Linked DNA regions of Arabidopsis thaliana. The protein of the gene in region 2 interacts with the protein of the main gene of each other region in a pairwise test. Each region holds a gene or a part of one and is shown on either strand. Other genes may lie near its edges.

Region 1 (3,299 bases), on a different chromosome or scaffold from region 2:
CATGGTCATTAACGATTTCACAAATCTAACATATTTTTCTCATTTTCATGTACTATATTTAGCATTTAATTTTATTTATTTTCTGAAAAGGTTTTACTCTTTTTTTCATTTTCAAGAACTCTTGTTTTCAAAATTTTATTGTTTTGGATATTAAATTCACATATAATTATATATGATTTGGTTCGATTTCACTCGGTAAGCTTTTTCGAATATTTTTCACCTGGAGCTGTCAAATAAGCCAATTTCTTGCAGCTTGCTGATGAATCATGAAACTGTTTTTGCCTCATATTACGATTGAAACACTTAAGAGAAAACCAATACAAGAAGAATACTGTCTGTTGAATCATTCTCTTATTACCCGAAGAAAAAAAGATATAACAAGAACATATCAATCCTCAGCGAAACATCATTCATCATCATCATATGCATTTGAGAGAAACTAGGAAATCACCACACATCAGGACGGAGTTCCCCAGTAGCCGGAGGCATCCAGCGACCAGAATTGTACACATTCTCGCCAACTTTCCATCCCGGAACATCTTTCATTACATCAGCCTCATATTCCAGATACTTTTTCCACTCAGACACAAACCTAGAATGCAAAACGGGGATTGAAACAAGATTGCTATCTGAAGGTTGCTGCAGGCACATTGACTTAAATTTGAGAATATGGTTTACCTTTCATCTTCTTCTGCTTGAAGAATGGGAAGTATTGTTCTACGAGCAGCATATTTCTCTTCCTTCAATGCCCTAAACATCACATCAATCTTGATAAGAGCATTAATCTTGATACTTACTGATATCAAATCAGACTTGTTTAGGACCATTGTAAATGCATAAGAAGTTAATGATCAAGCCAGATATAATACTAAAACAATCTATCTACATAGAAACAGTATCCCGATAACTACTATCAAAACATGCAACTAGATAATTGCTTTCATCATAACAGATTCTCACATCTTTGCAATTGTGGCTTTAAGAGTTTACAAATTGTTGACGAACTTTATATTCGTTTAAGGCTAAACTCATGCTGATTAAGCTTCAACCAAAATGTCGGGGAATACTAATAACAGAATACATAACAGTGATTCAACAAGCCTATGTTTCCATAGGTTAATAATATTAACCAATTCCTACGATAAACATACTCAAGTTTCAACAATTATTAACCAAAATGTATCCTTCACTACATTACTATGGTCATCAATCACTCCACAACACTAATTTTACCAAGGCGATCTCGAATTTTAGAGGAAAAATTGAAATGTGAACGAGCTATTACAAGTCGTTCTTACCTGCGGATTTTGTTTCCCTGGCCGACCTGGTACATTCCCCAAGCAAAGGCACCAGAAACGGCAAGGAACATGGCCATTGCACTAGGACCCGTATTGGATATCCGGCGGGCATATCGGACCGGTGCGAACCCACCCGGTGGCGGACCATCCTGAAGCAGCGGCATATCCTTCACACTCGCCATTCCTGGCTTATTTCTTATCATCGCCTCCGTCATCTTCAACGCTCAATTTCTTCTCGACCAAATTGACTTTTGATCACTGAATCCGATTTGATTTTGCTGAAATCGAGTGTTCTAGGGATTCCGATGAACAACGAAGGGAACGTTGGAGATTAACTAGGCTAGGACCATATAACTAAGCCCATTAGTTAGCAAATCACGGAGTCGTATGAGATGAAATGGGCTATAACTAAGCCCATTTCAGATATGTTCAAAGACCCAAGTCCATAAGTAAGCAAGTCACGTGGAGTCACGTGATTATCTTCTTCTTCTTCTTACATATAAAATGCCCTAACTACATGTTCAGAATATCTTTAGCCGCCGACTTGGTATCATCAAATCGAGGAGATTCGAAGAAGCATGGTGGGATTTAAGAACAGATACATGTTAATGGAAGTTTTTCTGGATCCGGACAAGGATCTTCTCGGAGAAGGAACACCGATCATTCTTACACAATTCAATCTCTCGAAAGCAATCAAAGACAGTATCCTCGTCAATTTCGGCGAGTGTGGTCTAGGTTCGTCTCTCGGTTCCTTCCAAGTGAAATATGTGAATCCAATCACGAAGCTATGCATTGTAAGATCATCAAGAGAAGAACACAGACAAGTTTGGTTAGCAATCACATTGGTCAAAAGCATCGGAAACTGTCCGGTGATCTTAAACTTGCTCGATATTAGCGGTTGCATCAGAGCGTGTAGAGACACAGCCTTGAAGTGCGACAAGGAGAAGTTTGAGCAGTGTAGCAAAAGCTTGTCTGAAGAGGAGATTAGGCAGATGAATACTTCTCTTGAGAAGATCAAACTATTGGAAAACTGAAACTTTTCTAGACCTTTTTTCCTTCGAATTTGACCCCTAAGTTTTGAAATTGTACAATCTTTGTATTTTTCTTAATTCTGAAATACAAAGGGATAAGAAACAGCATCATTCCCTGAAAAGATTGTTTGCGATTTGAATCACTGGGTTTTTATATGTTGGAATTAAAATAAGAGGGTGTGAATTGTTGAGATATGTTCTAGATAAGGCGTAATTCTGTGAAAATTGAAAACTTAAGGGTACAAGTGCAAAGTCGTTGAATTTTGAAGCTTTTAATAAATCCAAAATTTCTAATCTGGAGAGAACCTATCTCTGAGGTCCAAACTCTTCGGTGGAGGAGAAGAACTGAAACGGTAATCTAGCTCTTCAAAGCCTCTTACTTTACCGATTACTTGCTCTTGTACCATGTATACGATCATTTATATGGGTTTTTATCGGTTACGGTAATCCTCCGTGTCTTTTTCTTTGTGTATGCATGTTAAGTGTTCGATAAAATACCTCAAAGACCTGGTACCAAAAACTATTCATAGGGTTTGTATCCTAGCTCCTCAGATTTTTATTCCTAATTTTAGGTTTGCTGCCTTTGGAAATTTTTTGTTGTGTTAGTCATGCTTTTAGACCCCCATCAGTAGTATTAAGTTTGTGTGGAAAAAAAGGTCGTGTTTGGAATCTTCCTATATAACCTAAGTAGTTAGAGATAAAGTGATCAATTATGGAGTCTGTGTTAATGTGCAGGAAATGAGATCCCCTAGAACCTTGGAGGTTTGGAAGCTAGGCACTGTCAACTATTTGAAATCCCTTAAACTGCAGGAGAAATTAGTTTCAGAGAGAAAAGCTCATCAGATTCCAGATACCCTCCTCTCGCTTCAGCATCCACCAACTTATACGCTCGGAAAGCGTAGAACCGATCACAATCTACTTATCCCTGAATCTGAACTTACAAAAATCGGAGCTGAACTTCATTATACTC
Region 2 (5,426 bases):
CAAAGAAGCTTCCACTCAAATAAACTAACTTAAAGTAATCAACCCATACATTCATTCTCATAAGTCAGTATATAAAAAAAGCTAGAGGAAAACATACTAGCAATTATTTTTGCCAAAAAAAAAAGCTATGGAAAAGTTTCTCAGCACTTTTGATATTTTGCAAGAAAAAATGTTACTTTGATTGTAAGACTATATTATTTTCCAACAGTAACAAAAATCATTTATTTTTATTTAAAAGTGAAAATAATTTGAATGTTAGGCATCTTTAGTAATAAGAGAATAATTTTTCTCACAAGTAGGTAATTAGTAATAATGTGAAGAATAATGCTTCTCAATTAGATTATAAATAAAGTAGTTTTGAAAAAGGAAAGAGAGCAGTCTTTCTTCTTTAGCAATGGCTATGGAGGGAGATGTAGGCCCTCCGGCGACATTGTCCCCGACTTTTGTCGGCCGGCGGTAGATTTACCGACTCCTCCACTCTTAAATCTTTTTAACTTTTTTTTTTCCTTTTTAATATTTTAACTAAAAGCCTTTTTCTTGAACACGAGTACACAAAGAATCAACTCTAGAGAATAAATTAGATTCTTTCTTTCCCCCATTTTATAATCGGTTCAAAAATGAAACCACGAGACTTGCGTGGGTATAAATTAATGGACAAAACTTGTACTTATAAGAATGATCAAGCTCTTCAATGTTTTCTTTTTTTACTGATCCTTTTGAACCTTGATTGAAGTAGAAAAGGCTTGAAAGGCCTTAGTTGCGGTAAACGAACTCTACTCCTCTTAGCTTGCGTCTTACCTACATTATGGATTGATATAACATTAGACTGAAATCTATACTCCAAACTTATGTGTTAGGTTAGATTTGCAAATGAGGAAACTTAGATCTCGTACCTGATTTTGTGTCATTGTTATTTTCAGAGGATTGGACTTGGGCTTGGTGACTAGCTTCGGTTTCAGTCTTTTCAACCTTCTCGTCTTCAATTGTTAACTCTTCGACCTTATTGTCTTCCATTGTTATCTCAAAGGTGTTGTGGTTTGGAACTGATGCCTCTTCCTCGAGCTTTGTCTCATCGGACTCTAGTCTTGATGCTTCGTCATGGTCTTGCACAACCGCATCTGGACTGAGAGATTTACCTGATTCACTTAGCAAATCGGTAGTCTCAGAGGATAAGTTAGGAAGAATAATCTTACTGTCACCTGTTTCATGCATCTGGTCTTCCATTGTGACCTCCATGTACTCGTCGTGATTTGCTTCCGAAGAACAATCAATTTTCATCTCATCAGCAATGGATGTGAGGTGTTCAGGCTCAGGGATATGCTTCTCATCATCAATGGATGCGTGGTGTCCAGACTCAGTGATATGCATCTCATCATTACTAGCATGACCAGTAGTAGCTCTTTCTTTGCTGTTTTCGTCCACTGAGGCTTCTTCTTCAAAAGCAGCATTTCCCATGTTATTCACTTCAACAGGACTTTGTGGGATCCCATGATCGCTTTTTGACGGTGACATTGATCCACCTTCGGAAGTCGACTCAATATTCATGCTAACATCCGACGCTGCTTCTGACTTTGTACATCTTGTCAGTGTAAAGGGAGTAGCCGTCTGATTTTGCACCAAAATCCCCTGGCCATGGCTGGCACTGCATTTCCTTAGGGCAAATGCTTCTTCTTTGAGGACATTTGTAGTAGGTTCCACCTTATTGTCATCTTCAGACATCAGCATGTCAATTTGGCTTATGGTTTCAATTTCCCGAAGGTTATCATCAGATGAAGCTGTGGCCATACGTAGTTCAGAAACTTGATTACTACTGTGCACCTGAGTGTCAATCACCTTAGCTGCAGAAGGCTGAGTCACTGATTCAGTTCCTACAATATCCTTAACCCGGAAACCATGTTTTGGCAAGCCATCAAGAACAGAGGTGAAATCAATCGCCTTCGAGGATTTGTGCGCCACAACATTTGTGGCATCAAAAGCCTTTGCAAGATCATCCAAAAGCATGTCACCTTCACCGCTCGAAAGGCGATCCCATTTCATGCAATCTTCAGACAGAGGCTGTTCGAGGCTAAAAGTATCACCAGCAGAAAGTAATTCAACCCTGACAGCTTCTTTGTGAAACCGTTTTTTCTTTAAAACCTTGGCTATCATATTCCTGAAAGCAATTTAAAATCCATTCTCAATGACGCTTAGCAGCATCAAATAACACAATTGCTAGACGAATTTGATACATACCTACAATTTTTTGAAATGGCAGCTCTAGCTCTTTCAGCAGAGAGTCCAAGTAAGAACATGAGATTTATGACATCATTTGGACCTCTAAGTTCTGTGACTGAAGGAGCACCACTTGATATAATTAGATTCTTCCCCCTAGTCCAATCCACCAGTAACTAGATACACCATATCACAAGACAGTATAAGCAAGTTCTCATAAAACTTTCACATGATCAACTAATTGACAATAAAATTTTCCACAGAATCTCACCTTAGCATTTGATATAACTTGTCTCCTCGTTTGTGCATCCATAAGGATATCAGAGTACTTAATCTCAAAGTAAATCCCTCGCTGCAGATAAGAAAATTCATTAAGGTGAAGCAAATAAAAAGAATAAGATACACACAGATTCTTCTAACAGTGAAATCACAAACCTGAATAGCAGCTTTAACCATGGGATGCTTCAATCGGAATAACATCTTGTCCGTAAAATCTATCGAAATAAGATCAACCTATGAAAACAAACAAGCTAAGAGTTAAATCCTAACTAAAAAAACTCCAATTGAGCTACAAAAACTAAAGATTGAATTTTTAACAGAAAAAGAGAGAAATTCAAACCTCAGCTTTCTCACAGGCATAATCGAAAGCGTTCTGATTCATCGGCCTAACAGCAATAATATCATAACTCTTTAGAATCGGATTCCCAGAATTCAAACTCTGACACTGAGCATTACTCTCCACATGAACTGTGAGACGCGTGTACTGCCGAAACGGAGTAGTTCGCGGAACACCGAGTAAATCGCGATGGAATCCGACAGAAGAAGCTAACCGCGGAGCGACTTTGATTAGAGACCCAAGAGTGAGAAGAGGGATCGTACAAGAGTCTTTGTCAGACATTACGCCTTTGATCGAACGGTTATGTGCGATCCCAACATAGCCTAGCTCCATGGCTTTCGTGGCGAGCTTTAATCGTAAGGTTTTCCCGCCGGCGATTTCCTTACCACCTGATCGTGGCGGCTCATTGTACGGAATGCTAAGATCGAAGAATCCCATTAGTGAGTCGGAGAGAACAGTGGCGGAGAGATTTTCCGATTAGGGTTTAAGCATTAAATAACGGGTTTTTAGATACTTCACCGATTTTAGGAGAAGAAATATAAATACGACCAAAAAAAAAAAAAGAGAAGAAAAAGAAATAAATTTATTTTACTATGCAACCGACGACGTATGAGGCAGTTACCGAAACGCCTGCGTATTCGAAAATAAGAGAAGTTTGGTTTCGATCCATAACCGGCCCATTAAAAAGTAAGCCAGCCCATGCAAACTAGTAACTACAAAGCGAAGCTCTGAAGAACACTTATGTAGTTATCATGCGGATCACAATTAATAACCGTTGATTAAAATCAATCGACGGCTATCATGTCATATCAGTATTGACAAGGATTGAGCTTAACAGCCGTTAGATGGGTTATTAAATCGGATGGTTGAAAACAAAAGCCCTCTTATATATAAACAAACACGTCCAGTCAATATCTGAAAATCAAAAGCAATTCTTCTTCACACAGTAGCGAAAAAAAGAAATCTAATTCTCTCGAGAAAATGTCTGGTCGTGGAAAGGGAGGAAAAGGCTTGGGTAAAGGAGGAGCCAAGCGTCACAGGAAGGTTCTGAGAGACAACATCCAAGGAATCACCAAGCCTGCCATTCGAAGATTGGCTCGTAGAGGTGGAGTCAAGCGTATTAGTGGTCTCATCTACGAGGAGACACGTGGCGTCCTCAAGATCTTTCTCGAGAACGTAATTCGTGATGCTGTCACTTACACCGAGCACGCTAGGAGGAAGACTGTGACCGCCATGGATGTTGTCTACGCTCTCAAGAGGCAAGGAAGGACTCTCTACGGATTCGGCGGTTAATCAGGGTTTTTCAGATTTGTGTTTGGAGATCTGTTTCTGGAAATTAGATTTGAGAATTTCAATGTAGGTATTTTAGTAAATGTAGCAAGATTTGATTTCCTTTTTTTGCTATTTCGCTTTTGTAATGTGTTTTCATTTGCTAAATTCTCAACAATGGAAACACGCAATTTGGTGAAAGTTCGTTTGATTACTCATAATCTCTTATGACTCTGACTCTAATTTTCTACCTCGCTTTGAATTGTGAATTTGACAGTAGAGCAGACGTATTAACTCGTCAGCCGTCAATCTAGTTCTTTATCAGCGGCGATCTTCGGCTGTTAATCAACTACGTGGCGTGACGAGATACGTTGAAATCAGCTTGACTGTTGGCTCTCGAGTATAACATGTCTTGGGCTTTTCGATTCGTTATTATTGTTTAGAACGAAATATTTATTTGCACTAAAATGTACAAAATTTAAGCCCAATAAAACATCACCAAGCCCATAAATAACGACGACAAGACGTCAGGTCCAAATGTTGAGAGTAAAGAAGCTTTAACCAACTTTACTCATTAGCGCGTAAATTTTAGTTTCCCTCCATTTTGTGTTGATTTTATATAGTTTTCATTTTGCCACGAGTGGTAGTGGATAATGAGGTCTTGATCCATTTTAAAAAGGAGATAGTGGTATCTTAAGGGTTCTTTGAATTTGATGAATCAAATCATCCAATTTCTATAATTGGATACAGATCTAAAAGAAGGTGATATGAATAAATTGTCGTATTGCATAACAAATTCTGAAAAGATACAAAACGACATTAATCAATCTCATTCCGAAACTATTCTACCACAACGACGTTGATTACTTTTAGAAAAAAAAAAAGATTAAAAGAAAAATAAACAGGGGCCTGAAGAGGTACACGTGTCTTCAGCCAACCAACACGTCATCTCTCTGATCCAGAATGCAACGAAGTCGTTTTGAAACAAACTATATCTTCGTTTTTTCCTCTCGTGTCTTTATCGGAGTTCACAGTAGCAAAAGAGAAAAGAAGTTCACGCCTAATTACGACTAATTTTTAAATCCAGAGGAGACCCCATTCATTGATTGATTGAATAAAATAATTCGTAACGAAGAAGCAATCATTATCATTCTCTCGATTTCTCATACTAGCGATAATAGATCGACGCTGTTGATCGCATGTGGTAGTTCCTTTTTGGATCAGTGGTTTTTGAAATGGAGAAAGTTTCGTCGCCGTCTTCCTCTTTTTCACGGAGGTCTGCTTATCTTGAAGCTCTTACACAAGAGATTAAGAAGAAGCTTACACGGGT

What was found.
Region 1: the proteins of GAF1 (region 2) and EMB1687 interact in a two-hybrid assay, tested with the Arabidopsis thaliana proteins (one study listed by BioGRID).

Annotation. Positions count from the first base shown.
Region 1 is NC_003070.9:1,289,474-1,292,772, forward strand, and holds EMB1687 (ribonuclease P family protein / Rpp14 family protein), read left to right. Parts: upstream 1-1,826; 5' UTR 1,827-1,876; coding exon 1,877-2,332; 3' UTR 2,333-2,551; downstream 2,552-3,299. Other genes in the region: AT1G04625 (Polynucleotidyl transferase, ribonuclease H-like superfamily protein), read right to left, coding at 221-347; MEE4 (GRIM-19 protein), read right to left, coding at 448-592, 679-750, 1,299-1,513; LIP2 (lipoyltransferase 2), read left to right, coding at 3,068-3,299. UniProt on the Arabidopsis thaliana protein: Essential protein required during embryogenesis. Component of ribonuclease P, a protein complex that generates mature tRNA molecules by cleaving their 5'-ends. Also a component of RNase MRP.
Region 2 is NC_003076.8:24,145,046-24,150,471, reverse strand, and holds GAF1 (Polymerase/histidinol phosphatase-like protein), read right to left. Parts: upstream 3,374-5,426; 5' UTR 3,266-3,373; coding exon 2,831-3,265; intron 2,725-2,830; coding exon 2,647-2,724; intron 2,564-2,646; coding exon 2,483-2,563; intron 2,388-2,482; coding exon 2,233-2,387; intron 2,153-2,232; coding exon 894-2,152; intron 799-893; coding exon 689-798; 3' UTR 530-688; downstream 1-529. Other genes in the region: AT5G59970 (Histone superfamily protein), read left to right, coding at 3,809-4,120; AT5G59960 (K-stimulated pyrophosphate-energized sodium pump protein), read left to right, coding at 5,332-5,424. UniProt on the Arabidopsis thaliana protein: Probable component of ribonuclease P, a ribonucleoprotein complex that generates mature tRNA molecules by cleaving their 5'-ends. May also be a component of the MRP ribonuclease complex, which cleaves pre-rRNA sequences.